Linked DNA regions of Neurospora crassa OR74A. The protein of the gene in region 6 purifies or fractionates together with the protein of the main gene of each other region. This does not show direct contact. Links are inferred from orthologs where the notes say so. Each region holds a gene or a part of one and is shown on either strand. Other genes may lie near its edges.

Region 1 (2,512 bases), on a different chromosome or scaffold from region 6:
GACCGCGAGCGCGCCGAGCTGGCCAAGCTGCGGGCCGAACACAAGAAGGAGCGCAAGGGCGCACTCAGGGAGCTCCGCAAGGACGCGGCCTTCATGCAGCGCGAGAACCTCAAGGTCAAGAAGGCCAAGGACGAGGCGTACGAGAAGAAGTACAAGCGCTTGGTGGCGGAGATCCAGGGATCGGAAGGCCAGGCGGCGAACGAGTACGCAAGGGAGAAGGCGGCGAGGCTCAAGAAGAACAAGAGGTAAATGGCTACTTCTTAGAAGGTTCGGGGGTAGCAGTCGGAGTAAGTTTGTGGTTGGCCGTGTTGTTGTTAGTGCCGTTGTTGTTGCTGTCATGTATACATCATCATCAGCGTTCAGTGCAAGTGCAATATTTGGATCATGGGTTGGAGATACCATGTCTATCATATCATCTACTAGTAGGAGTTTTAAGATCATTTCATCATTTGCCAACCCTCAGTACGTACATTATCTACTCCTGATGTTGTTTACATGTGATGTTTACCCAACCCACCAATTTCATCATGGTACTCATCCCTACCTGGAACTTTCAACACTTCAACGAAACTATGTAATTCCGGTTATCGCTATTGATGGCGGAGCCTCATCTGAAGAAAAAGAAAAGAAAAAGCAAACAACAAATAACAAGAAAATGACTGAAGACAAGGAAACACAGCAGTATGGAGTTGCCCTTCGGTCGGCGTGTCCGTCCCGCGGCTATAATTCAAACAATGCCGTTCTTCAATCACTTCCCCCCCTCGTGCCACCCATACTGTACCTCCAGCGCTGGCCCAACGACTAACTACATAGTTAGTTACGACTTACGAACAATATATAAGCGACCTAAACAACTAACAACCGCCGCACGTTATCGTATAACAATATCACTGGACCCCGAAAACCCCTAACCAGCGAAATCGGCGAGAAAGTATTTCCCAGGTACTCAGGTCCCGGGCGGATGCTTGATCAGTATGTATTTTGCCCAGTCTGAACTTTGTAAACTTTCAAAGACAATCCACATCTCTTTGTGGTGGTTTCTAGACGCTATAGGCGCCGTAGACGATGGTGTTGTGTTCATCGGGGAAGTCGGGCACTCTACGACTCTTTTCATTCTTCTCTCTTTCCTTTGCTACATTCTCAATAGCACGCGCCTTTTCTTCTGAGGGGAAGAGGCAAAGAGAATCATAAGCTGATGACCTAGATTCCGCTCCAGTTGGTAGTTGGGTCGATCGGTTGGTTCCGAGTAAGATCAAGATTCCCGTCCCGTCGTCTATGAGGGTCCCCGTGTCTCCCCAGCTCCAGGTTTCCGGCGGCCGCAAAATGAGCCTCACGCACCTCTCAGTTGATCGAAGGCTGGAAGAATGGATGTCAAGGCGACATGTGTCATTGCGATCTTGACATCGATCGCATCTTTGAAGCCATGGATGACTATCGGTGATCCCGCTGTTCAGGACCGATGATTTCGGCTTGCTGTTTCAGTTGGCTGCCTCTAACTATCACCACGATCATGTGTCAAAGCTCGAAGAAGGAGGTGAAGTAATGAAAACAAAAGAAAAACAAGAAAAAAAATCCCATAACACATCAAAAAGCCAATTCGACTCCGTTCCAGCCTAGGCGCCCTCACAGATACGGCCCCCAAAAAGACAGATATGTCTGGTCCACTCCAACTGTATTCTCATACACAGCCTCTTCAAGCGCGCGCTTAGAGGCGCATGTGGATATGATCACCCCAGAGGCCTCCTGATGAGGCTCTTCCTCGGCAGTCACTCACATGATACTTTGTCAAAACGATGTATTCTTTCCTACTAGAAATCCCATCAGGGTTCACTTTTCGGCTCCCTTTTCCGAGAGCATAGTAGGTCTCAAAAGCGGGTCGCCGGGCTGTGGAAGATTGAGGCTGTGTGCAGTGTTGTTTTGACGTGGTGAGTTTACTAGTTACCTAGTGGGTTTCGAAACATCTAAACGTGCCCATTTCCGCGTATCAACAAAAATCGCCCCCACATCATTGACCGAAATGTTTGGGCAAAGGGGAGGGGACTGGGTGGAAACGGAAGTGGCCAAAGAAAGACAATGTGGCCATGAGATCCTAACGAGTTGGAAGCCATTCACGATCCGAAAACGACGAGTGGTCAAGGCTGAGCCAGAAACACAAAAAACTCCACGATATTTTTCCACAATGAGGTAGATGGACAGATATGGGTGGAAATCATGCCTTCTGCGACCTGTTGAGCTGAACAGTTAATGACATGTCGTTCCAGCCTCACCTCACGTTCATGCTATCAGACATTGTCAACTCTCTTGTTGACCGAATAGACAGACGGCTGCTGCTACTGCTGCTGCGCCTCTACATATATCCAACCAAGCTGGGATCGACCAGCTTAACCAATCCCTGGCTTGCAGTCAACGGCGAAGCCATTAGCGGCAGAGTGAGGCGCGGATACTCAACGGGAGTCGGGAACCGTACCACTAGTAGGGCGATTGCCGGGCGAATTATGACCGCCACCATGCT
Region 2 (3,874 bases), on a different chromosome or scaffold from region 6:
TTCTACTTTATCCCTTAACCTTCGGTTTATTGACGTGTTGCTGTGGTGGAAAACAAACAGGCAAAATCGCAGCTCAATGCTCCCACGCCACCCTCGCCTGCTACAAGCGCCTTTTCTCTGCCGCCCAGCTCGAGCCCCTGTCGCTGTCGGCCCGCCTGCTCCGTCAGTGGGAGCGCAACGGCCAGGCCAAGATCGCCGTGCAAACCAAGACCGAGGATGAGATGCTGGAGCTGATGGCCAAGGCGCGCAGCTTGGGCGTCACTGCTGAGGTGATTCAGGATGCTGGCCGTACGCAGATTGCCTCTGGGTCCAGGACCGTGCTGGGCGTTGGTCCGGCGCCTAAGAGCTTGGTTGATGAGATCACTGGTCACTTGAAGTTGCTGTAAAGGGGGAAGACTTTGTAGCGGGGAGAGGATGGAGAAAGTGTGTTATGTTGACGGTAGCATGAACGTAGATACAAAGAGAAGGACGAGAAGCACGAAAAATGGCGTAACGGGGACGGTATAAAAGTATCATTGGGCTTAGAGAGCGATACAGTCAGGTAAAGACTTTGATGCATGTAAGGCGTAGGTCTTGATTTTTACTTTTGAATAGATTATCAAGCAACAAGATGAGTCTCCACATACACGTAAGCATATCAAGTAAACAAATATAGTATCAGCACAGCATCCGGTCGACTGACCGTCTTTGGTTTCATTAAGTGACTGATTCTGGGTATCATCATGTACTCTGTTCTTCCACCCCTCCCACCAATTTTCATGCTCTACTCTTTCCTCGCAAACCTGGCCAGCGTAGGCCCCAGCTCGGCCACCTTCTCCTTGTGCCTCTCCCCGTTCTTCTCCTGCATCTGCTTGTACATCTCCTCGGCCTTGAGCCGCTTCTCGTCGATAATGTTCTTCTTCTTCTGCTTCCGCAGGTACTTCTTGAGCGCGCTGTTCTTGCCTCTGGCCCGGTTGCGCATCTCCTCCTCCAGATCCGGCGGCCCGGCGTCCAGATCCTTGTCCGCCTCCCGCTGCTTCGCCGACCGCAAATCGAGGGTGCCGATAAAGTTGGGGTCGAGCGCAATCATCTCGGGCGCGAGCTTGTTGAGCAGCTGCTTGACTTCGCCCTCCTGTCTCTGCTTCTTGGTCTCGTACGGGTTGACTTCCAAGGCGTCGAAGTTGGCCTCGCCGGCGCCGGGGATGATGAGGGACGAGAACCCTTCGCTGTGGCCGACACCGAGAACATCGTCAAAGGGGCACCACCGCACCCGCTCGACGCGCTTGCCCTCACCGCCCCACGTCATGTAGGGAGACTGGACCTTTTCTTGTACCGGCTTCTCCTTCGAGAAGAGACCCTTCCAGACCGTTGTCCTGGTGCCCCAGCCGACAGCGGTAAGGCCGGTATCTGAGATGGCGACGGACGAAGCGGGCGCCCGGGTAAAGTAGTTGTTGACCTCCTTGAACATGCGGATATCCCAAACGGCCATCTTGCAGTCCTGTCCTGTTGTCACCATGTAGCGGCCTTCGCGGTCGACAGCCATGGATCGTACGGGACCACGGTGGGCAAGGAGCTTGACCAGAGGTTCTGACGAGTTGGGCGACCATAGCGTTACTGTGCCGTTCTGGTGACCAACATGGAGGATAGCGTTCCAGGGGTTTTGTGTCATGGAAACGGGTGTGCCCAGCTTCGTTGCGATTTCGGTGACGATCTGACCGGTCGATGTGTCCTGGTACTTGAGCTGGCCGTTTGTGCCCAGGGTGGCCAGCAGGAAGTGGTAGGGGAGGAATTCGAGGTGGGAGACTTCGACGTGTTTCCTTAGGCAGTGGAGCTCGACGCCCTGCGAGTCGTAGATGTAGGTGTACTTCTTCTGAGCGACGGCAAAGTATTGGTTGTTGTGTAGCCACTTGACGTCCCTGATGGTCTCTCCCAACTGCAACTCACAGCCCAGCTTGCCGTCTCTCCAGTCCATCGTAGCGACATGGCCCTTTCGTCCTGCCAGAATCAGATCCCGGCCATTCCTCGAAAAATCGCAAATGTAAGGGCCTAGTTGGTCGAGCTTCAAGTCGAACTTTTTCTGGGCGACCTCAATGTTGACTTCGCTGACGATGTCCTCCTGGCGAACCTTGTATGTGCGTTCCTATCGTGACCAGCGCGGTTAGTATCGCGCAAGAGGCTATAAACTCCCAAGCCATGGCTACTCACAAGCTCATGTTCAGCCTCGAGGAAACCGCCGGCATTCTCGAGAAGGATTTCGGCCTCCTTGGCCTTTAGCGTGGCCGTCTGGTACTTTTCTTCGAGGTTGGTAAGGTTGCGCTTGAGCTTTTTGTCCTTGACGTTCTTGACATCGATCTTGCGACCACGGCCGTACGACTTCTCTGCTGCCTTGACTTTGCGGATCTTGTTGGCCTCGGCCTTTGATCGGAACTCGCTTCGGACGTTGTTGATGGCAACGGCGCCGCTGGGCTGCTCTGCCCTCGAGAGGGAGATTTCGGCCCTGTCTGTAGTCTCCATGGTGCCAATGGGTCGACGCGACACAATGGGAATGGGTAATATGTGTGGTGGACTAGGACAGTTGGATCGGCGACGGGATATGGATGGGGGCTGAATATGGAATTGGTCTGGCGGTTTCTCGGTGTGCCCGTGTCTGTCCCTCGCTTTGGCACTTTGAATGTTTCCTTTCCTCGACAACTTTTTTGGGGCCGGACCCACTAAAAAGTTGGATGGGGCAGCTGTTCCGCAGCGATCATTGGCTCCACTGCGTACAAGAGTCCGATAAGATAAGTAGCGAGACGGCCGCCCATGTTCGCACAACTCAAAAAAATGCAACGAGTGCCCCGCCATTGACATTGTCCCCATCACTTTATTCGATACTCGATAGACGGATTGTGACCAGAGAGGTTCTCGAAATCTCTTTTCAGTCCCAACCCCCCAGCCTCTTCTCTTCATCGCCTCCCCAGGTCCAACATCCTGGCGTCAAACTCGCTCCCTTTTCGGTTCAAAGCAGGCGGCGATTCCAGCAATATGCCCGGCGCCGTGAGCGGCCACTCGCATCGGCCGACGACCAAGGCGTCGAACAAGCCCTTCAAGTCACGCCATTCTACCAAGGGTGCTCTCCGGAATGCTGCCAAAGGTACGGATTGCATATAACAGCCGTGCCTCATGCCAAGGTTGTTGCCTTGGACTATGCTCTACTTCACCCAACTTTGGCGCACCAAGCCCAAGCAGACATGAATATACAGCTGCATATAAAGAGGTCGACAACGTCCACACAGCGCTAATACTTTCAACATTCTATAGGCAAGGTAGCCGAGGAGAGAGGTGTGCGCAAGACCCCCCATCAACAAGTCATGTCCAAGTTCGACCGTCGCAACCGTAACAAGCAGCTTCAGCTGCAAAAACACAAGGAACATCTCCAGGAGACCTCCATTTTCGCCGGCAAGGATGGTGCCCCCAGAAACGTGGCCGTTATCCCCCTGTGCAGCGACGGTGACGCTACCGAAGCCATCAAGAGCCTGAACGCCAGCATTGATATCGAGACCGAGGTGCCCGAGGGCGCATTCCGCGTTCCCGTCGACAGATTCAAGCAGAAGCTTCAATACTTCCCCCTCAAGCGCGACCTTACCGCCTGCCTGGACGCTGCCAGAGTCGCCGACTATGTCGTTCTCGTTTTGTCCGCGCAGGAAGAGGTCGATGAACTTGGCGAGCTGATCTTGCGCAGCGTTGAAAGCCAGGGTCTCTCTACCCTCTTCACCGTCGTCCAGGGCCTCAACAAGATCGAGCCCCAAAAGCAGAGACTCTCCGTTCTTTCGTCTCTCAAGTCCTACATCACCCACTTCCACCCCGAACAGGATAAGGTCTTCAGCCTCGACAACAGACAGGAATGCTCCAACCT
Region 3 (3,739 bases), on a different chromosome or scaffold from region 6:
ACCGGGTTGTAGGAGCTGCTGTCGTAGCCGTATTTTTTGATTTGTGGTTGGAACTTGTTTGTTACGGTGGTGGTGTCGAAGGCAGCCGCGGGTTTGGCCTGTTCGGCCGCCGTCGTGGAGATGGAGTTCCCCGCTATGATGAGGCGGGTGATGTGTGAGAGCTCGTCGCGTTGGACGGAGGGATCGAGCGCTTCGCCGAGGAGATACTCGAGAAGCAGGTTGAGTTCCATGGCGTAGGAGGTGTCGGCGTTGGAGAACTCGAGGCCGGAGACGAGGGCAATCTTTTTAGAGGAGGGCTTGTGGGACTGCCTGGAGAAAGAGGCGTCCATCATTTCGACGTCTTCGGAGGAGTCTGCTTCCTTTTTGCCTTTTGAGAGCGACCAGCGCTCGGGCTGTGGTGGTAGTTCGGCGAAGAGGAGGTCGATGACTTCGAATTCGCCGTTGGCGTTCTCGGTGCCCATTACCGCGACGATGCAGCCGGTCACCATGAAGTGGTTTTGCAGAGCGTTGCCGACAAGACGGATGCGGCCGGAGTCGTCTTCGAGCATTACCGAGTCTTCGCCGTTGCCGGAGTAGTAGTGGCCGACCGAGGTGGGAGCGGAGATCCAGCGCTATAACATCATTGTCAGCTGCCTGGTGTCCACCAAAGGATAGGCTGAAACTCACATCCTTGGAGACATCCTCGAGGATTGAGGGCTTTAGAGGCATGTCCATATATACTGTTCCAGCTACCCAGCATAGTTCTCCCTGGCGAACGTCTAGGACACGCTCGACCCTCTTGACCTTCTCACCACCAAGCACTGTTCCCTCCCAAGCGGCGCTGGCGGCTGCCTCGACGGCGGGCCTGATCTTTGTAAGACGCAAAAAGTAAATATCGGCATATTGTTGTTGATAGGGACGGGTTTTTTCGAGTTTGAAGGTATGAAGGGGCTTGTAGTTGGTGATCTGGCGCTGGAGAGCCTCGGGCGCATCGCCTCTTCGTGAAGTTGGGTTGTTAGCTGATGATCGCCAGTGGAAGATGGATGATCCACTGCTACTCACGAGGGCTTCTGTAGCAAACCGCTACCGAGAACTTCGTCCAAGGTGACCATCGTATGATTGATACTGACAATGGCTCAAGATGTGAGAACGACAAAAGCAATTGGTGACTTATTCATGTGCTGCCCGACTCGGAAACTGACTTCAAGGGACGAAACTCGACGACGCGCTTGACAATTTCGAGACGCGTAGCTCCAGTGGGTTCAATTAAGCCAGGTACATGACCGGTACTACTCTATACTAGTATAGTTTACATAGTAGCGGCGCTTCAGCACTGTGACCCTCACAGGAACCGTCGGCCCCGCTATAAAGTTCCGATAAGATAGGGGAACGTGGGGTAGCTAGAACACTCCAGACCCCTGCGCTGCAAGGCTGGACAGAAAAAATTGGATGGAGTCTTGGATTTGGCATGGCCTTGTGGTGTCCGCTGCAAAGTAAACATCCACACTCTCCTCCCGACGACGCCTGTTTCACGGTAATCTAAGCCAATCTGACTTTTACTTGTCAATTGATAGTATTCAGCCTGCCCATACCGAACAGCGACTACCCAATTCACATAATATCACAGCACAGGCACCGCCATGGACCACCCTACCGAATCAGGCGCCCAGGTCCGGGTGACCTTCACCACCCAGGAGGAGGACATCCAGCTCGATGAGAGCAAGCGCCAGCTCCTTGTCCCCGCCGACATCCGCCGTTATGGCCTCTCCCGTATTCTCAACTCCGAGTCCATGCTCGACACCAACTCGATCCCCTTCGACTTCCTTGTTAACGGCAGCTTCCTCCGCGGCAGTCTTGAAGAGTACCTCAACGCCAACGGCCTCTCGCTCGAAACCAACATCACCCTTCAGTACGTTCGCAGTTTGATCCCACCAACATACGAGGCCAGCTTTGAGCACGACGACTGGGTCAGCGCCGTCGATGTTCTTTCCGCTACTTCTCCCGCGGGCCGCTGGTCCGGCGACAACTTTCAGCGCGGCCAAGATCGCATCCTCTCCGCCTCGTACGACGGTCTCCTCAGGATATGGGACGCCTCTGGAAATGTGATTGGCACCTCGCCCTCGGGCAGCCACGGTGGTCACACTGCCAGCATAAAAGCTGCCAAATTCCTCTCCAGCACTCAGATTGCCTCGGCCGGCATGGACCGCACAGTTCGCGTATGGAAGTACACCGAGTCGGGCGAGTCGTACGAGCGTCGCGGCGAGCTGAAGCCCACTCTCGAACTGTACGGCCACACCTCCTCGATCGACTCGCTCGAGGTTGACGGCGCCTCGAAGCGCATCCTCACTGCCTCCGCCGACGGTTCCATCGGTTTCTGGACCACCTCCAAGGCGTCCGCGCCCGAAGTCTCCGATTCCTCGCTCCTTCCCGGCGCCCACACATCCAAGCGCCGCAAGCTCGCGACCTCCGTCACCGCCGCCCAGCGCGGCCCGCTCGCCCTTATGAACATCCACAATGCGCCCGCCACGGCCGCCGTCTTCGACCCCCGCGACCGCACCGTTGCCTACTCTGTGTCGCAGGACCATACCGTCAAGACCATCGACCTGACCACCTCCAGCGTGGTCAGCACCTTCACAACCTCGCATGCGCTCCTCTCTCTCGCTGCCCTGCCGCGCTCCTCGGCCTCGGCGCCCCTTCTCGCCTGCGGCACCTCCGCCCGACACATTACCCTCGTCGACCCGCGCACCAGCACGGCCGCGACGAGCGTCATGACGCTGCGTGGGCATGCCAACAAGGTGGTCAGTCTGGCGGCGAACCCGGAGAACGAGTACTCACTGGTTTCGGGCTCGCACGACGGGACGTGCCGGATCTGGGATTTGCGGTCGGTCCGGCCAGCGACCAAGGACGAGGGCGGCATGGGCAGCGTCAGCGAGCCCGTGTACGTTATTGATCGCGAGAGCCAGCAGGGCAAGAAGAAGAAGAGCAGTGTGACGGGCGACGGGTGCAAGGTGTTCAGCGTGGTGTGGGATCAGCTGGGCATCTTCAGCGGTGGTGAGGATAAGAAGGTGCAGATTAATAAGGGGAGGGGTGTGAATGCCGAGTAGAGGAAGAAAAATGGTCGGGAAAGAGGGGGTTGTTGATGAAGAGAAGGGAAGCAGCAGAACTTGGTTGTTATGATATACCCAGGATAGATAAAATGGAATGTGAATACTGTACAGGATATTTTTGTGATATCTGCAGGGACGAGGCCAAGAACAGCCGTGACAGATTCTTTCTGAACTAAACTGTACGCGAAAACTGTACTGACCTGGAGCATAGACTAGATGGCTTCTGCAGAGCCCAGTCAGGTTGTTCTGAGGATTATACAAGGTTCATCTACCAACGTCTAAAAGTAGCCAAGTCGGTCTCGGGGTATAGGTGCATCGTCGACATCTTTCCTTTCTTGTTCAGCACTCGACCAGCAGCTTGAGAGCCGGCTCAGTGACTTCTCGACATCTTCCTCAACCTCTCCACCTCTTCCTCATCAACCGTCGCTTGACTGCTGCTATTGCCCAGCGTCAACTCCTCATCAAAGTCCAAATCCCCAGCCTCCAACGCAGCCTTCATCACATCCTCCACGCTCTCTTCCTTCGGCTTTACCTCCACCTCTGCCTGTGTCTCATCTACCTCCTCACCCTCAACCTCCTCTACCTCACCTTCCTGCTCCTGCTCCTGCCCAAAAATCTCATCCAACAACTCCAACTCACTCTTCCCCTTCACC
Region 4 (4,207 bases), on a different chromosome or scaffold from region 6:
GCACTGACCATGGTGAAGAACTCCTCAATAGAGGCGGTAGCCGCAGGAGCATCCGCGGGCATGTGAGGGACCTTGCTGTTATCGATCAAAGAGCCCTGAGCAGAAACCATCTTCTGGCCAAGGAGAACCAGAAGGTCGAAGGCGGTAGTGCGAGCCTTCTCGTTGTGCTCCTTGCAGCCAATGACAACCTCTGAAAGAATGGAGGGAATGAAGTGCAGGGAATCGTTGGGGATGAAGTGAATCAGAGCAGCAATGGCAGCCAGGCGCTCTCTCCGGGCAGGTGCCGACACCTTCTCAGAGCTGGACAGGAACAGGGTTTGGAGCTCGCCATGTCTCTCCTCGAGGGCGGCCTTGCCGATGGGGGAATCCGCCAAGCGAGGAATGAGCTTGTAAGCCTTCTTCTGCAGCTGAGGGTCATCATCCTTGAAGATGACCACTGAAGCGATCTTAAAAAGAGCCTCGAAGCTGGCACGGGGGAGGTAGATAGACATGGTAACGACCAGGTCCATGAGAGTGTGCGCGGCAGAAGGCATGTGATCGGCCTTCTGCTGTTGTTGGGGCTTCTTCTCAACAGCCTCTTGAAGAGCCTCGGCGAGCTTCTCGCACACCATGTCGAAAGTCTCGGTAAGACGCGCGGGAGGGATGATGCTGAGGTAGGCGTTGATGGTCTGGAGGACAGGGCCGCGCTTCTGGGGGAGAGTGGTGCTGTAGACGTTGAAGAGAACAGCGAGGAAATCAGCTGCAAAGGTGGCTCCGAGGTACTCCAAGTTCTTCTGCGCCTGCTCCTTGCTGACCCTGCCAAAGAGAATGAGGTCATCGACCTCATCGGAAGTGGCGATGGCCTGGTTGGACTCAACAACGGTCCTGAGGGCGCGACAAATATCCAAGCGCAGGTCAACCTGCTCATACAAAAGGTTGGTCAACATCTCAGCGAAGCCTGTGTCAAAGGCCTCGACAAGATCAAGTGGAAGGTCGCAGTAGCCGGGAAGAATCGACCAAATTTGCTGAACAACAGTCTCGAAAATCTTGATGTGAATGTTCTTCTCGCCCTGGTGCTCAATCACACGCTGGAACATGATAGCACTGAGAGGAACCAATTCGCTCTTGAAGTGTGCAAGATTGGTGTTGGAGGTGTAGTCACGGAGAAGAGGAAGCATCCAAGCTCTGCCAGGCTGACCCTTGACGGGCTTCGCGAGGTTCAGGGGAAGAACATTCAAGACCGCCTCAGGACCCATTGCACGAATCGCCTTGCCAAGGACCTCGTCGGCTTCCTGCTTTCCAGCGAAAGAATCGTTACCGCGGATTTCGCCGATGCTCTTGACGACGGAAAGGAGGTAAGGGTTAGCCTGCCACCGAAAGGCATCGAACATGGCACCAAGAACGTTGAAAGTCTCCATCCAGGCAGCTTGGTACTGGACGGTGAGAAGGCCCTCGACAACCTTGACTAGTTGCTGAATGACCTTCTCGTCAAAAATCGAAGGCTCAAGGATGGCCTCCTTGGGGACACAGTTGGCCAGGAAGGAGACCAAGCACTCGGACGCCGAAACGCGAATATTCTTGTGCTGGGACTCGAGGTATCCTGCAACCAGAGTGAAAGGATCGACCAGCTCTTGGAAGGTCTCGGCGGGCGAAATCTGACCGGCAACATCGTAGGCTCTCGACAGAATGGCGATCCAGGGAGGGAGAAGCTGGGTATCGTTGGGCGCGGGACGGAGCTCTCTGATGATCTCGAGCAGCCGAGGAAGCTTGGCGGAGGCAACCTCGTCGGCGGCCATGCCCTCGAACATCATCTCGAAGATCTCGAAGACAGCCATGCTCATGTGCTCGTTGCCCGTCCGGGCAATGCTGAGAAGGAGCTCGCACAAAGACTCAATGCTCTTGCTGGGCCAGCCACCGCTTCCAGAGGCGACAGCCTTGACGAGTTGCAAGGCGTGGATAAGCTCGGGATCGTGGGTAGAGTCGGTAGTCTTCTTTTCCTTCCTCTGGGCGGCGGCCTTGTCAGCGACAAGACGGAGGCTCTGCATGGCTGTCTCGGCGCACATGGGGGCGGCGGGGTGGTCGAGAGACGGGCTCGGCGGAGGGTTCTTCAGGATGTTCCTGAGCGCTTCCTGGGCTCTCTTGCGGACTTTGGGACGCGGGTCGAGGGCAAGGGCGAGGAGGCCGGCCACAGCCCGGCGGGGGCCAATCTGGGCGGTACCGAGCTCCCACTGTGTCGCATCTTGAGCAAGGAGCAAGCTCTCGAGAGAGCCGATCGAGGCCCTCATGAGGGGAGCATCGGCATCGGGGAGGGATAGTACTGGCGCGAGGATGGTGATGATCTGAGTGAACTTGGCCTGAAGAATAGGCTTTGGAGCGAAGGGAGTGACGACATCGAGGAGGTAGACGACGGGGGTCGCGAGGTTTTCGTTGTTGAGTAGACTGAGAAGGGCAGCGAAGTAGGCGGTAGGAGTCGCGGGTGTATTGCGCTCCTTGAAGGTGGCCTCGATAGCCTCGAGGACACTGGCAGTCTGTGGCTCAAGTCAGGGTCCATTGTCCACGATGGAGGCGGCCTTGCGACAGGCCACTGCAATGGCAGGCTGGAAGGAAGAGGGTAGGGATGCAGAAGACAAAAGATGGAAAAAGGAGAGATGCATCATGACTCTGGCTTACCTGCTTCTGGCTCTGGAGATTCGGAGACCGAATCTTGTCCAGTTTCTCCTGCAAAGACGGAGAAGAAGCCATCGTGAATGTGATGGAATGGCGCTGGAGTGGGACAATGCAAGCCGCTTCGCAGTGCTGAAATCGATGTCATGAAGAACAGAAAAGTTCGAAAAGTTGTCGCTTATCGGCGCGCACGCCCCACCCGCTGTCATTGATAAGGGTCTGGCGCTAGTCCGAAGCGGCTCCCAACTGTAACTCCAGGGTTAGCTATGGCATCTCATGCTTATAGAGGTACCTATGTTTCGCTTGGGCAGCCATCAAGGTTATGAGATACAACAATTCATGTTGGATCGTACGAACAACGCGTACCCACTAGGAACAAGTTTCTATTGCTTTAAGCCCATCTCTACCCCAGACAGCAGGTTTGTTTGGGTCTTCCGTAAATCACCAAAGCGTCGATGACCGTATTCATGATATGACAGTTCATCCCCCTCCCAACCAGAAAACGCCGGTACGATAACAAAGAAAAGAAAAAGGAAAGAAGGAAACCAGAAAGTGATAAATGGCTGTATATCACAAGTTCCTCCACCCTGTTTATGAAAACTCGTTGTCTGCCTCCTCAAAGTTGTTCTTGATCTGGAGAAGAACAGCCGCCTTCCAGTCATCGAGCCGGCTCATCTTATCGTACGCGGCAAGCTTATCCTGGAACATCTCGAGGTTGTTGTTTGAGGCTGCTTCCAACAAGTCAACCAGGAGTTGGTATTCGCGCTGGCCCGTAAATGATGGGTCCTTCTCGGCATACTTGGTGATGTTACGCTGAGCAGTGACCATATCCTTGGTCGCCAAGGAGCAGAGACCGGCCTTGAGGAAGTACTCCTTGACCGAGTACCTCATCAGGTTGTTGCCGAGTGAAGCCTCCGCAACCTTCTCGAACTTCTCTATAGCGGCGAAAAAGTCGCCCGCGAGGGCAGAGAGGTCGGCCACCTTGAGCCACAGCTTGTTCGCAAGACTACACACAGCTGGTTAGAACGACCTGTTGGACTCGTAACATGGCGCAAAAGCCGTGGGCATTAATCACTTACGCGACAGCACCGTCGTTCTCATACCACTCGGCCGCAGTTGTATAGGCCTTGATAGCCTCTGGCTTATTCTGCAGCTCGTTTTCGTAGACCTCAGCCTGGTTCTCCTTGTGCGACGCAGCTCTCCGGAAGTTCCCCGCCATGGTATACTGCTTGATGGCAACCTCGACGCAGCGCACAGCATTATCCGGGGCATCTTTCCTATAGACCTTGAAGGCGTCCAACATGGCATTCGCCGCATCGTTGGGCTCCTTCAACTTCTCAGTGAAGATCTTGGCAGCTTCCTCGAAACACTTGCCGGCCTCGGTGTCTGGGTAGTGGGCAGAACGTTAGGACTTGCCGCGAGGTTCATATGGCCCGAAAGCGCATCGTGGGTGTTGATGATTGTGATGACGTACTTGACTTCTGCAACCTGAAAGCGTTGGCCGCTTGTATGTACTGATCCGCCGCATTTTGGTACTTGTCTTCCTTGTTTCCGAACAGACCCC
Region 5 (4,052 bases), on a different chromosome or scaffold from region 6:
AAAAAAAAAAAAAAAAAAAAAGGGGAAAAAAGGGGTAAAAATAAAAGGGGTAACAAACCTTCTTAACCCGTCCCTCCTTGATAATCACCCCCTTGAGCTTGAAATCCTTCCTCTTCTCCTTCTTGACGCCCTCCACCTTGGTGACGAACCGGCCTGTGTGCCTCTTCTTCTCGCGGTTGGAGATGCCCTCGCCTACCCAGCCGCCCCAGCCAGGAAGCGTGTTGTCGATCTCCTTGTCGTCGTCTTCCTTCTCCACTTCGGCCTTTTCGCGGTTAAAGTCGCCTACGACGTCCTCGCCTGCAAAGGCACGCTTGATGAGTTCTTGATCGCGGATGGCGAGGGGGAGATGGATCGTTTCTTCGTCGTCGGAAGAGGAGTCGTCGTGGGTGGTGGTGGCGGGAGCAGAGGACTTCTTGTCCTTGGCTGCTGCGGCGTCCTTGGACTTGGGCTTGGGCTTGGAGGCGAGCATGGCGGCGTTGGAGAGGTCCAACTCGCCGACGGAGACCTTGGCGGCCTTTTTGGTGCTCTTGCGACCTTCTTGGGGAGCCTTGGACCAGGCACCGGCGACGGAGGCGGCGAGGGAAGTGTCCTCGACTTGGGTGGTGGCTGCTTGTTGTGGTGTTACTTGGAGATTGGACATGTCGTTTGTGATGTTCTTCTTCTCCTTCTTCTTCTGAGCAGCCTGCTGGCCGGGGAGTATGATCTCCGTCTTGCCCATACCGAACTGCCTCCGACCGATGTCCGTCTCTTCGACATCGTCAGAGTCGTAGTCGGAATCGAGGTCTCGGCGAATCTGCGCAATCATCTCATCGTTCTCCTTCCTCTTCTGGGCTTCGCCGCGTTGCATGAACTTCATCTGCATCAGCCCCGACTCGACCTCGCCATCCGCGTAGGAAGCAGCGTGCTCGAGCTGTTCCAGCAACCGTTTCTTGTTCTTCTTCTCATCGCCAGACTCGGCAGAGTAATCGTCGGAACCACTGTCTTCAGAATCCTCCTCGCCCTTTCTGCGTCCCTCGATCCGGCGGCGCAGCTCCTCCTTCTGGCGAGCAGCCTCTGTCAACCCAGCGCGGAAGTTGTCGTCCCACACTGCGCGACCGGCCTTCTTGCCGAGCTTGGCCCACTTGCTGTCCCGGTGACGAGTACCGACGCGCTCGAGGGCTCGCCTCCTGTCCAGAGCCTCGCGCTCCTCTTCTGAATCAATCTCTCCCGCCTCAACCATGGCATCATGCATCTCCTGCTCGTCGTGGAGCAGCTCCTTGCGATGAATGCGACGGTACGCCTTGGACTTGATCTTCTTGATGCGCTTCTGGCGGGCCTGCTCGCGCGAGAACAGCTCACGCTCGCGGCGCTTCTGACGGGTGATTTCTTGCATCTCAGCGGCCGAGAGACCCTTGCGAGCGGCAATCTCCTCGACGTTATCCTGGTCCTCCTTCTTGGGCTTGTTAGTGGGTCCCAAGCCGGATTCCTCCATGATGGCCAAGATGGTCTGTTCGAGCTCGGTACCCGCCGTGGCCTTGGTCACGGGAAGGAGTTCTTGACTGTCGAGGCCGGCGTCGTGGGCATTTTGCGCGAGGGGGAAAACCAGGTGATCCGCACGGCGGTTGTGCTTGACTGTGTCGATCCAGCGCTCGAGCGTCTCGGAGGTCTTTTCGTAGGCGGCGGAGCGGAGGAGCTTGTCTTGTTGCCTCTTTGCGAGGGGGATGTCGAGCTTCTTGGATTGCCCAGGCTTGGCGGCCTTTTCCTCCTTGTTCATGAGCTTGAGAGACTTCTTCATGTGGGGGTCCTGGACGCCAAGGAGGCCGAGATCTGAGAGACTGAGTTTGTTTGTTGGTTTCGAGCCTGATTGCTCCTCGTCGTCGTTGTCGTCGCCCGCAAACCCGGAGATCATCTTTTGGAGGTCGTCGAGCTTGGAAGGGTCTTCCATATCGTCGTCACTGTCTTCGCTTTCGCTCGATTCGCTGTCCGCGTCGTCTTCCGATCCTGACTCCTCTTCGCCCTCCTCCTCCTCGCTGCTTTCATACTGATCCAGTGCTGTGGCGAGATCGATGGCGTCGGAACCGAGCGACTCCAAGTCATCGTCCTCATCTTCGTCCTCTTCCTCCTCATCACTGTCGTTTCCACCCTTCTTCGCCTTCTTGCCCTTCTTGTTGGAGCTGCTCCCGCTGAAGGCATAGCCATCGAACTTTTCCTCGTCGCTCTCACCAAAGGCCTCATCAGAGTCGAGTTCGGAATCTTCGTCATCAGCGCCTACACCAACGTGCCACTCCTCGCCATCGCTGTCCTCGCCACCGTCGGAGAAGCCTTCGAAATCGTCGCTGTTTTTGGCCTTCTTCTTTTGTGGCCTGGCGTCCTCGAGATCTTCCTCATCCTCGTCTCCGTCCTCATCGTCTTCGTCGTCGCCATCTCGTTGTCTCTTCTGGGGGCGCTCTTCGGGCTCGTCGAGGTCTCGTGTGCGGACGCCCTTGGCTTTCTTTTGGGGGACTTGTTCGGCGGCAATAGCGAAGGCGTCGAGGACGTTGTTTCTGGATTTCCTATCGGCAGTCTTGTTGTTGACTCTGTGCTTGGGACGCCCTCCGCCGCCCGACTTGGGCATTAGAGGCCTGCCGTGGGCTTGACGGCCGGGCATTTTGCTGGTATTTGAGAATTGACTGATTGGAAGTCGGAAGGTAATTCAGTCAATTAAGTTCGAGGTCGAGCAAGCAAAAATTGGGTGATGAGATTGTCGACGAAGTCCAGTGGTTGGATGGAATGAATCGATGGATGTCAATGTCCAACTTTTGCCTGCACGGGTCCTGGAGGTCGAAGTGGTCAGGTCCCTTCAACGGCAACTCCCACCAAGCCTTCAACTTTCTGCCAGTGAACAAGCTCCCCCGAAACTTTTTCTGCCGCCTCTGTAATCGATAATTTTCGGGCGGTGAGGGCGCAACACCCACCCATTTTGCGGGGCCGCAGCAGGCTACAGGGGTACCTGTTTCTCCCAGCCTCACGTCATTGGCTCAATTGAGCTCCAAACTTCTGAAATGGCTCCACCTCAACCCGGCGCGGCCCCGGACGTCTTTGCGATTTCTCGATTCCAACCCCGTCGCCCGTCGCCCGTTGCCCGTCGCCGTCCGTGTTGTCCAGCGCCAGTCCGAGTCCGAGTCCGAGTCCCGTCTCCGTTCCTGTCGCGTGCGCCGGATCTTCAACACTCTAAAGCGGATCCCGTCTCCGTCCCACTTGCGCCCACCTCAACCACCCTCACCACAGCGAGGTGCTTCCACCACCCAGATCACCGACCACAAAAAGCAATTCTCCGTCGTCGTTGCCCCGCAAAGCGCAATCCTCCTAGCCCACCATGCAGCCCACTCGCATCCTCCAAGGTCTCAAGTACCGCAAGTTGCGCCTGACCACCAAGGACGTCAACAAGGGTTTCTACAAGGGTAACCGCACCGGTTCCATGGGTACGCACACCAGCTACGGTACCTACAAGATCGACTACACCAAGGTCCGCACCTATGTGTGCCCGGACCTGACCGGTTTCAAGGTGGGTGGTCCTCTATTTCCGTCCGGGTTTGGGGTTGGAATGGGATGTGTTGGGGGATCTGGTGCTAGGGGAGGGACCGAGAATGGAGGACAAAAGAGAATAAAAAAGAATTATGCTAACAAGATCCAACAACAACAAAGCTCACCCCCTTCGTCTCCAAGACCATCCGCCCCGTCCACGACCAGTTCCCCGGCGACAAGCTCGGCCCCAAGAACCCCGCCACTTACCTTGCTCGCTGGAAGTCGGAGAACGGTCTCGACTAAACGGTCGTCATTTTTTCAAGGAGGGAGGAGGAGGACATTACGATACCAGACCACGGCGAGGAAATGGAGCGAGGCTCACTCAACTATCAAACTACCAAACGCAATATATACCCAAGTTCTGATTACATTCCGAAAGCCTGCCGACACAGACCCGTTCGAAGGACCACGAGCCACTCTCCACTGTACATTATATGACCTGACCACCAGGAATCAACCACCTAGCAGCTCCACTGTTCTGGGTCATATGTGAAATTGGAACATGTCCA
Region 6 (4,405 bases):
GTGATCTTGACAGTAACAGACTGAGACTTGAACATGCCAAAGTCGGGTTTGTCCTGATCCTCGCGAGGAATCATAGACTTGGGAAGCAAGGCGGTCAACTTGCCACCGAACTGGACGAAGACAGCCGTAGCAGTGATGTTGCGAATATAACCAGAAACCTCATCTCCGACGCGAGCACCATCAAGGGTAGTAAGGAACTTGCCTTCCTTGCTAGCCTTGACAAGGCTGGGCTTCTGGGAGAGAATGATGGAACGGCGAGCCTCGTTCTTTTCCAAGATCACCAACTCGGCAAGAGTCTGGTTGACGTGAATTTTCTTGAGGGCAGACTGAGTCTTGCTGACCGACTTGTCCGTCAAGTGAGCGACGGGGAGGATGGCCTTGAGAGAGCTATCGGCAAGCTCAACAAAAACATCGTCGTCAGTTTTCTGCGTGACCTTAGCCGACACCACATCACCGATCTGAAGCTTCTTGAGGGCCAACTGCTTCTCAAGACCAAAGGCAGATGGGTCCTTGCAAGAAACAATAAGCTTGGCGGCATCGGGGTCGAAGCTGATGACGTAGATGCTGACAGTCTGGCCAACGCGGAAGTGCTCCTTGGGATCCTGAATGTAGGCCTCGCTCATCTCAGAAACTGGCAAGAAACCACGGAGCCTGCCGTAGAACTGCACAATCGCACCGTGCTGCAAGACGTTGATGATGGTACCGAGCGCCTGTTGGCCAACAGCAATTTGCTCATACGATTGGATGGCAGGAAGATCGGAATTGACGAGCGTCTTCTTGAGAGTAAGGCGGATCTGGCGAGAGGCAGCGTCAGTCGAGAGCACACGCGCCTTCACCTTCAGGCCTTCCCTGAACTTCTTCTCGGGGTTCTGAAGGTGAACGTCAGCGAAGTGCATCTCGGGGACCAAGCCAGAGATACCGTCAGCAATCTTGACAATAAGGCCACCAACACCGGCGGCGTTGACCACCATCTTTTCAACCACACCAGAAACAACTGCACCGACAGGAATGTCCTCGATGCGAAGGAATGGCTGCTCAAGAACACTCTTCTCCAAGGAAATGAGATACATGCCATCAAAGGCGTTGTAGCCGACAACCCTACCAGCGTGAACAGATCCCACCTTATAGGGTCCGCTGTTCTCGAAGAGGGCATCAACCTTGCCATCCTTGACGCGGGAGATGTGCACAAACCCAGACACGCCCTCGACACCAACATCGACGTAAAGACCGATCTCAGGCTCGACCTGCTTAACGGTGCACTTCTCCACGATCGTCGAGTGAGGGAGAGCCTGCAATGGCACCACTGGTTGGTCGTCCTTGGAAGCAGTCTTTGGCTTCAACGAGGTAACGTGTTTTAGTACAGAGATACCCAGCTTGGGGTGCTTTGCAGTAGGGAAGTTGCAGATGACTCTGGCCTTCAGACGAGAGCCGACCTTGTATGTGTCTTCAAGATCGATGCCATCCGGACCAGCGCCAGAGTGAACCAGATCAGCGGTGACATCCAGCGATCCCATAATCTTGCCAACAATTCCGTGGCTGGAAACCTCGGACACGAGCACGTCGGCGGCAGTACCGGGGAGGAATGTGTCGATGGTGGTAGCAGTCGAAGGGACGTTCTCGACGTTGCCCATGGTTTCACCCAATGTGGACAACTGAACGACCTTGCCCTTGGCGTTCTTGGTGACGATACAGAGGAGGACGGCACCTGGCTGCAGAGCCTCCTGGGGGATGCTCTTGTCGACCTGCTTGCGAGCAAGGAAACCTTGCAACTTCGAATCGGCGATCTCGATGTCCATAACATAACCGTGGTCCTCCACACTGGCAATGGCGGCCATAACTGTGCTGTTCACAACAACGTCTTGCTCCGCCATACCGGTGTTGGCGAGAGAAGGTTGAAGGGAGAGTTCGATATGGCGCTTGGCCTTTCCAGGGGTGTGTGTAGAAGCCTCGTCGACCGTCGATACAACGTAGGCGCGGACATACTGGCCGATCTGGAAGAGGGATTCGAGGTCAACGTCGTTGTCGTTCTCGTCTTCTGACTCTTCGGCATTGTCGTTACCGGCGCTGGCCTCCAAGCGTTTTGTTAGGGGGGCGGAAATCGCAGTGATGGGGACATGGCCGATAATATTGTTGGGTAGAGCAACGGCGATGTCGAGAGAGTTGATGGCGCAGACGGAACCAAGGACCAAGGAGCCCTTTACCAGACGCTGCGGACAGTTAGTACTTGGATGATAGGACTGAACCCATGAGTGTTCCGGCGCATACCTTGAAGTTGAGACTTTCAACCTTGACGGCGTCCGCATCGGGCTTCGCGGGTGTGTCGTCGGACTTTGACCTCTTCTTGGACTTCTTCTGCTTGCCCTCCTTCTCACCAGCCTTCTTGGCGGTGGCCTTGCTGGATTGCTCCTCGAACAGGGCGTCGTTCTTGGCCTGGACTTGGATTTGCTTGTATTCGAGAGGTGTCAGGATGCTGGCGCCGCCTCTGGGGAACATTGGCTCCTCTTCCTTGAGCAGCGTAGATGTAGCCGGGGCGGTAGGAGCAGGAGGAGCAGGCTTGTCGGACTTGGGAGCCGGCTTGTTGCCCTGCTTGCCCGTCTTTGCGCCCGCCTTGCTGCCGGCATCGTTGGACTTTGGTCTCTTTGACGGTCTCGATTCGGAGGCTGATTGTGTTGATTTGTTGACTGGGGCGCCGCCCGGGCCTTCCTTGCGCTTTTGCGCACCCATTGTGAACTGATGGGTATAAAGAAAGGACCTGATGGATGGACGGATGTGTTTGGAGTTGCAATTGGAGAGATACCCGCACTGGATCCCTCGTCCCTTTGCCCGCCTTCACACTTCAGAATGAATCGACAAGCACTGACAAAAACTGACCCAGGCCGCTTCCACTGTCCGCTGCCGAAAATTTTTGGTGGGTCCGTCGCCGTTCACCGTGGCCAGATAACGATAAGGAATGCGGTGAGCATCGGCTACGATTCTGCCATCTCTAGGTACGCGGGCCGCGTGCATGTCGGTTCGTTGCGGGTTCTGAGTCTTGCGGGGTTCCCCTGTAGGGGTACTAGCAGCGCCTGTCTTGTGTCCACGAGTGCCACGGCGTCAGCTGACAGGACGCTGTCACGTTCATGGCCAGGTACGTACCGAACCTTTTGCACGGGCGGAGACGGGCAGCCAACGGGCCAGCCGCATGCGTTGCAGGGAAGTACACGGTAAGTAGAGGTAGGGTACTGAAGGCCGTTAGGTACCTACACCCTAGAGATAGAGGGGATTGCTGAGAACGTGCTATCAATGAGTTACCTATTGGCCATTGCGAGGTACATATAATTCTCCAAGGCGGGATGTACAATTGTCTAGAGGTACCTACCTACACTTAACATGTCGTCTGATGTTAGGATCGTACGGTATTGGAATATCATTCTAGTCTGATGGAAGAATGAATTTGATACTACACTAGACCATCAAGTAGGTACTTGTAATAACATCAGCATTCGTTCACATGGTCCCCCTCTCCAGGTAATAAAGTGTAGGTACTTCGTTACCTATCCGGTTCCCCTGGACTGTGCGCTACCTGGCAAATGACGTACATGCATCCGAGCTGGAGCCTTTGATAATGGATGAAAGCGCTCCCTCCCCGCCGGCGGTACCCGTGTAGTGTAAGTAGAAGTACACATCGGATTTGTAGCCTGAGCGGTGCCTCGTCGGCTTGTCGACTTGTCCCTACGGTATAGGCGCCACGCAATACTCGTCGCATGCCCATTTTCGATCCTTTCAACTTGACGAAATAAACGGCAATGTGGCCAAAGTTTGCCCTATAATCTTAGGGGACTGGAATCTGTTAGGTTGTTGGCCTTGCTCGCCATGGTCTTCACCATGGGTCGTCGAAAAAAGGCGAAACCAAACCCTCCAACCGAGCCGGCGGATGGTAGTGCTGTCACCGAGTCCTCAACGTCCACATCCGATATGCCGCCGAAATCGTCCTCGAGCCTAGCAGCCTCTATATGGCGTTCAAAAGCCGTTCCAATGCCGACCGCTTCGAACCCACCTTCGTCGACGACGACCTCGACACCTGATAATGCTCTATCAACATCCCAGCCCAATGCGACCGCAAATACAACTCCTATTTCGAGCAAGCGAGGGCTGAAAGAGGTAGCCTATTTCTCTTCAGCCACCATATCCAGCCTGTTTAATGCCTGTTACACCCGATGCTAACAGACTCGCAGCCCCAGAAATCTCGGAGTTGGTATGGCTCATGGCCACGCAAATCGACACCCTCGACACAAGTCGCCCGTGAAACAATCATGGGCGGAACACTCAGATCAAAAAAGCGAGCAGACTTTAGCCGTTTTGACACAGAAAGAAGCACGGATAGTGTCAGTCTCGATGGTGCAGCTTCATCTTCGTCTCTTCCAAA
Region 7 (4,157 bases), about 840 kb from region 6:
ATGGCTGTGAAAACCTCAGTAACGTTATGTCCGGTCTTGGCCGAAGTCTCAAAGAACAAGAGACCCTCCTCCTCGGCGTATGCCTTGGCCTCGTCCGTCGAGATCTTGCGTGCGTCGCCCGAATCCTCCGCATTGTCGTCGCCACCTCCGGAAGCCTCGGCAGAGCCGGCCGAGTCGCTGGTCAGATCCAACTTGTTGCCCACGAGCGCGATAACGATGCCGGGAGACGCTTGTCGCTGGAGCTCGGCGACCCAGTGCTTGGCCTTGATGAGTGAAGTAGGTTTCGTCAGGTCGTAAACGACAAGGGCGGCTTGGGCGTTGCGGTAGTACATGGGCGCTAGAGAGGCGAAGCGCTCCTGGCCTGCTGTATCCCAAATCTCGAACTTGATCGTCCTCGTGGGCAGGTTGCACTTCTGGGTTAGGAAGGCGGCTGCAAAAAAGTGTCAGCTAAACTGGTGCAAAGAAAGTCGTCATGACTTCAGGAACTAACCTCCTATCGTGGGCTCCTTGTTCTCTTGAAAGTCATTGTTGACGAATCGGAGGACGAGCGACGACTGTGGAACGATTTGTGTTAGGCATGTGTTTCTCGAGCATGGTGGTTTTGGAGCAGAAGACTGCGCACCTTTCCGACAGCAGCTTCACCTAGAAGCACCAGCTTGACGCTGCTGCTCGGCTTGGGCGCGTTCGTATCGGCCATTGTCGTTGAAGTGTATTGTTGCTACAAATCTGGGTGGATGGGTTGTGGAAACGGCGGGGCTTGCGGCAGCGAGCAACTACAGCAAGGGACAATAGCAAGAACGGCTATCTTTGATAATGCGACAGCGACAGAGCAGTGCAGTTGTGGAAGGGAGGACGTTGGGTGGCTGCCTGTTGGAAGACAAAAGATGTCTGAAGATGGATCGTTGATGGGTTGGGAATCGGAGTGAGGTGTGACGTGATAGGTAGACGGCAGCAATGAGAGTAAATGGATGGATGGAGCTTGTTCATTCAGTTAGTTCCCTTCCAGTCGGAAAGCCAGGCTCGCCGGGATCCAGCAGGCATTCGGTCGGGCCACGGGCAGGCGTCGCATGTCCTCGATGTCCCCCCTCGCTTGCGCTGTGAGTGGACTCCAACTTCCCCTCCATGCCAAGACTCATAGCCACATATGTATGCCTTTGTGAACCGTGCGCAATCTCGTGGCAGGCAAATTGGACTACAAGTACGTACCGCCAGCTGTAGCCCGGGGACTGGACTTCGAAAAGGTCCCCACTAAAAAGTTCACTTCGAAAATTTGGGGGCGTCAAAGTCGCAACGAAAGTCTTCCATCCTTTATGCGCCAGGATTGACTTTCCACCCCTTCGCCCTAGCATCTTCAAATCTAGCCCACCTCAAGATGCCTCGCCCAAAGTCAAAAGCGGCGAAAGCCAGAGTCACAGGCGCCAATACCGATCCCATTGTGCCTAGAAAGGGTCTGTTCGACGATGATGCCTCCAGCGAAGACGAGCAGGACGGCGGTGCCACCCTCGGTACCGCTGCCGACTTGAAGATCAATGAGGAGTACGCCCGCCGTTTTGAACACAACAAGAAGCGCGAGGAACTCCACCGTCTCGAGGAAAAGTTCAAGTCCAAGAAGGAAGGTGGGCTAGGCGAAGACGAGGACGAAGAGGACTCTTCCGAAGACGAGACCGAAGACGATGAGGGCTTCCTTGTCACCGAGGACCTCGACGCCGAAATCAACGCCACTCTAGAAGCTATCAAGAAGAGGGACCCCCGCATCTACGACAAGGAGGCCGTTTTCTACACGCCAATTGACGCCGACGGCCAGCCCGTCAAGGAGAAGAAGGAGAAGCCCATGACCCTGCGCGACTACCACCGCGAGAGGTACATGGCCGGTGACATCGGTGCCGACGAAGATGACGCGCCCAAGCCCAAGACCTATGCCGAGGAACAAGCCAACCTGAAGCAGAACATTCTGTCTGAGATCAATGCCGCTGTCGGCGAAGACGAGGAGTGGAGCGACGACGACGCCTTCATCAAGCCCGTCAAGAAGGAGGAGGCGCCTACCGAGAACGGCGTTCACCCGTCGCGCGCCAAGGCGATCGATCTTAACGAGCTCGACGTCAAGAACGCTGACAAGAACCCCGAGGAGTTCCTTTCCAAATTCATGCAGTCCAAGGCCTGGGCGCCCGCCGACGGCTCGCGCTGGGAGGCTTTCGAGTCGGACGAGGGTGAGGACAACTTCCCCGAGATGGCCGAGGAGTTCGAGCACGCCTACAACATGCGGTTCGAGGACCCCAACAAGAGCAACGAGTTGCTCAAGACGTACTCGCGTAACCTGGCCAACGCCAAGTCCGTCAGAAAGGAGGAGCTCACGGGCAGAAAGAAGCAGAGACAGCTCGAGAAGGAGCGCAAGGAGGCCGAGAAGAAGCAGCGCGAGGAGGAGCGTGCTCGTCTGCGCCGTCTCAAGATTGACGAGGCGGCCGAGAAGCTATCCAAGATCAAGAAGGCTGCCGGTCTCACCGGCAAGGAGCTGTCCGACGAGGAGTGGATGAAGTTCCTCGAGGACGCCTGGGACAACGACCGGTGGGAAGAGGAGATGCGCAAGCAGTTTGGCGAGGAGTACTACGCCGAGGGAGAAGGCGACGTGTCCGGCAGCGACGAGGAGGACGACGAGGACAACGAGGACGGCAAATCCAAGAAGAAGAAGAAGAAGCTGCCCAAGAAGCCCGAGTGGGACGACGATATCGACATCAAGGACATCATCCCCGACTTCGACGACGCTCCCGATGTTGTCCTTTCCGATCTAGACCTCCCCAAGCCCAACGGCGACGACCAAAAAGCCGAAGACGAGGACGCCGACCTCGGCTCCGACCTCTCCGCCGATGAAGATGAAGGCCGTCCCTCCAAGAAGCGCAAGACCACCGCCGACATCAAGAAGGAGAAGCAAGCCGCCAAGCGGGCAGCCAAGGCGGAACTAGCCAAGCTTGAAGCTTTGGTCGACACCAAGATGGAACTCGACACTCCTCGCGCGCTTTCCGCCCCCAAGGACAAGAAGTACAAGGAGAACCTGTTCCCGTTCCGCTACCGCGAGACTTCGCCCGTCTCGTTCGGCATGACGGCGCGCGATATCTTGTTGGCGCCCTCGGACGCCGCGCTCAACGAGTTCGCCGGCCTCAAGAAGCTGGCTACTTTCCGCGACGCCGAGAAGAAGCGCAAGGAACGCAAGAAGCTTGGCAAGAAGGCCCGTCTCAGGCAGTGGCGTCGCGAGACGTTTGGCAAGGAGTTCGAAGCGACTGGTCCTACCTTTGGGTTCGAGGCGCTGGACGAGGATGGTACGCCCCTTGGCAAGAAGGATGAGGGTGCGATTAAGCATAAGAAGAGGGGTGAGAACAAGGACAAGAAGAGTGGCGAGAAGAAGAAAGAGGAGAAGAAGGAAGAGAAGAAGGAGGAGAAGAAGGAGATTGCTGCTGGTGAACGGGGAGCGGATAATATCATCGAGGGAGAGAGGAAAAAGAAGAGGAAGAGAAGCAAGAACAAGAAGGACAGTGAGAAGGCTGAGGCCTAGAGTGCTTCGTTGCCACTTCGGTTGTCAGTATAGTTGGACAAGCAGTGGCGGTCACGTTTGTTTGTTCTGTTTAGGGTTTTGTATCGTTTAGTCTATTTTAGAAGGCGTATTGCATCGCGGTGTTACGGAGAAATCATACAAAGTTAGAATTAGCTATACCAATCCTCGATGCTTCCTCTCATCTCGGAGTTCATCGTCGTCTTCGCTACCTACTCAGTTACTCTGCATGACACTCAGATGGTGTTCAAGTTGTCTTCATGCTTTCCTGAAGAGAAGAGACACTCCCCTTCTCCCCCCTCTCCCCTTCCCCCCGGAGGCGGAGCGCCCGTCCTGTTACTAAAATCCGTCATCGCCACCCTTTCCTCTCTTCTATCCTCTTTTTTTTTTTTTTTTTCTCTTTCTTGTGCACTTTCGACCTTCCTAACATCTGGCCCTGTCTTCCAGTTGTTACTCTGTTGGCCACTACAACCAACTCCAGCCTCTTCTCATATTGTTGGCCACTTTGGCAGAATAATCAGGAAGTCAAACGCCGATGCCCTTCGTCCAGGTAGCCTCGTTGTGATTTCCTGATAGCATCATAGCCGTCCGTCCAAGGGGATATTCCTATGTCTTC

What was found.
Region 1: the proteins of NCU06272 (region 6) and NCU07393 purify together in Saccharomyces cerevisiae (affinity purification with mass spectrometry; 3 studies listed by BioGRID). This does not show direct contact. The link is inferred for Neurospora crassa OR74A from reciprocal best matches to the Saccharomyces cerevisiae genes RRP5 and NOP14.
Region 2: the proteins of NCU06272 (region 6) and NCU01502 purify together in Saccharomyces cerevisiae (affinity purification with mass spectrometry; 4 studies listed by BioGRID). This does not show direct contact. The link is inferred for Neurospora crassa OR74A from reciprocal best matches to the Saccharomyces cerevisiae genes RRP5 and UTP7.
Region 3: the proteins of NCU06272 (region 6) and NCU03764 purify together in Saccharomyces cerevisiae (affinity purification with mass spectrometry; 3 studies listed by BioGRID). This does not show direct contact. The link is inferred for Neurospora crassa OR74A from reciprocal best matches to the Saccharomyces cerevisiae genes RRP5 and YTM1.
Region 4: the proteins of NCU06272 (region 6) and NCU01675 purify together in Saccharomyces cerevisiae (affinity purification with mass spectrometry; 3 studies listed by BioGRID). This does not show direct contact. The link is inferred for Neurospora crassa OR74A from reciprocal best matches to the Saccharomyces cerevisiae genes RRP5 and RRP12.
Region 5: the proteins of NCU06272 (region 6) and NCU07058 purify together in Saccharomyces cerevisiae (affinity purification with mass spectrometry; 3 studies listed by BioGRID). This does not show direct contact. The link is inferred for Neurospora crassa OR74A from reciprocal best matches to the Saccharomyces cerevisiae genes RRP5 and UTP14.
Region 7: the proteins of NCU06272 (region 6) and NCU06409 purify together in Saccharomyces cerevisiae (affinity purification with mass spectrometry; 3 studies listed by BioGRID). This does not show direct contact. The link is inferred for Neurospora crassa OR74A from reciprocal best matches to the Saccharomyces cerevisiae genes RRP5 and KRI1.

What each region holds. Positions count from the first base shown.
Region 1 is NC_026501.1:6,090,403-6,092,914, forward strand, and holds the end of NCU07393 (rRNA maturation protein), read left to right. Parts: coding exon 1-249; 3' UTR 250-1,996; downstream 1,997-2,512. UniProt on the Saccharomyces cerevisiae protein: Involved in nucleolar processing of pre-18S ribosomal RNA. Has a role in the nuclear export of 40S pre-ribosomal subunit to the cytoplasm.
Region 2 is NC_026502.1:3,252,900-3,256,773, reverse strand, and holds NCU01502 (small nucleolar ribonucleoprotein complex subunit), read right to left. Parts: upstream 2,644-3,874; 5' UTR 2,494-2,643; coding exon 2,185-2,493; intron 2,120-2,184; coding exon 764-2,119; 3' UTR 574-763; downstream 1-573. Other genes in the region: NCU01501 (mitochondrial peptidyl-tRNA hydrolase Pth2), read left to right, coding at 61-386; NCU01503 (pre-rRNA processing protein Tsr1), read left to right, coding at 3,004-3,112, 3,280-3,874. UniProt on the Saccharomyces cerevisiae protein: Involved in nucleolar processing of pre-18S ribosomal RNA.
Region 3 is NC_026505.1:2,340,011-2,343,749, forward strand, and holds NCU03764 (microtubule associated protein), read left to right. Parts: upstream 1-1,425; 5' UTR 1,426-1,619; coding exon 1,620-3,083; 3' UTR 3,084-3,198; downstream 3,199-3,739. Other genes in the region: NCU03763 (DNA polymerase delta subunit 2), read right to left, coding at 1-611, 667-976, 1,042-1,091; NCU03765 (3'-5' exonuclease/helicase), read right to left, coding at 3,457-3,739. UniProt on the Saccharomyces cerevisiae protein: Component of the NOP7 complex, which is required for maturation of the 25S and 5.8S ribosomal RNAs and formation of the 60S ribosome.
Region 4 is NC_026502.1:2,739,614-2,743,820, forward strand, and holds the start of NCU01675 (90S preribosome component RRP12), read right to left. Parts: upstream 2,818-4,207; 5' UTR 2,722-2,817; coding exon 2,650-2,721; intron 2,508-2,649; coding exon 1-2,507. Other genes in the region: NCU01674 (alpha-soluble NSF attachment protein), read right to left, coding at 3,235-3,649, 3,723-4,029, 4,118-4,207. UniProt on the Saccharomyces cerevisiae protein: In association with GSP1, required for nuclear export of both pre-40S and pre-60S ribosomal subunits. Required for the late maturation of the 18S and 5.8S rRNA of the pre-40S ribosomes and for maturation of the 25S and 5.8S rRNA of the pre-60S ribosomes.
Region 5 is NC_026506.1:332,050-336,101, forward strand, and holds the start of NCU07058 (small nucleolar ribonucleoprotein complex subunit Utp14), read right to left. Parts: upstream 2,884-4,052; 5' UTR 2,627-2,883; coding exon 59-2,626; intron 1-58. Other genes in the region: NCU07057 (hypothetical protein), read left to right, coding at 3,335-3,523, 3,664-3,786. UniProt on the Saccharomyces cerevisiae protein: Involved in nucleolar processing of pre-18S ribosomal RNA.
Region 6 is NC_026503.1:2,145,288-2,149,692, reverse strand, and holds the start of NCU06272 (mito ribosomal protein S16), read right to left. Parts: upstream 2,887-4,405; 5' UTR 2,725-2,886; coding exon 2,266-2,724; intron 2,208-2,265; coding exon 1-2,207. Other genes in the region: NCU06271 (hypothetical protein), read left to right, coding at 3,853-4,140, 4,215-4,405.
Region 7 is NC_026503.1:1,301,164-1,305,320, reverse strand, and holds NCU06409 (ribosome biogenesis protein Kri1), read left to right. Parts: upstream 1-1,263; 5' UTR 1,264-1,372; coding exon 1,373-3,544; 3' UTR 3,545-3,740; downstream 3,741-4,157. Other genes in the region: NCU06410 (GTP-binding protein YPT52), read right to left, coding at 1-430, 491-554, 623-697. UniProt on the Saccharomyces cerevisiae protein: Required for 40S ribosome biogenesis. Involved in nucleolar processing of pre-18S ribosomal RNA.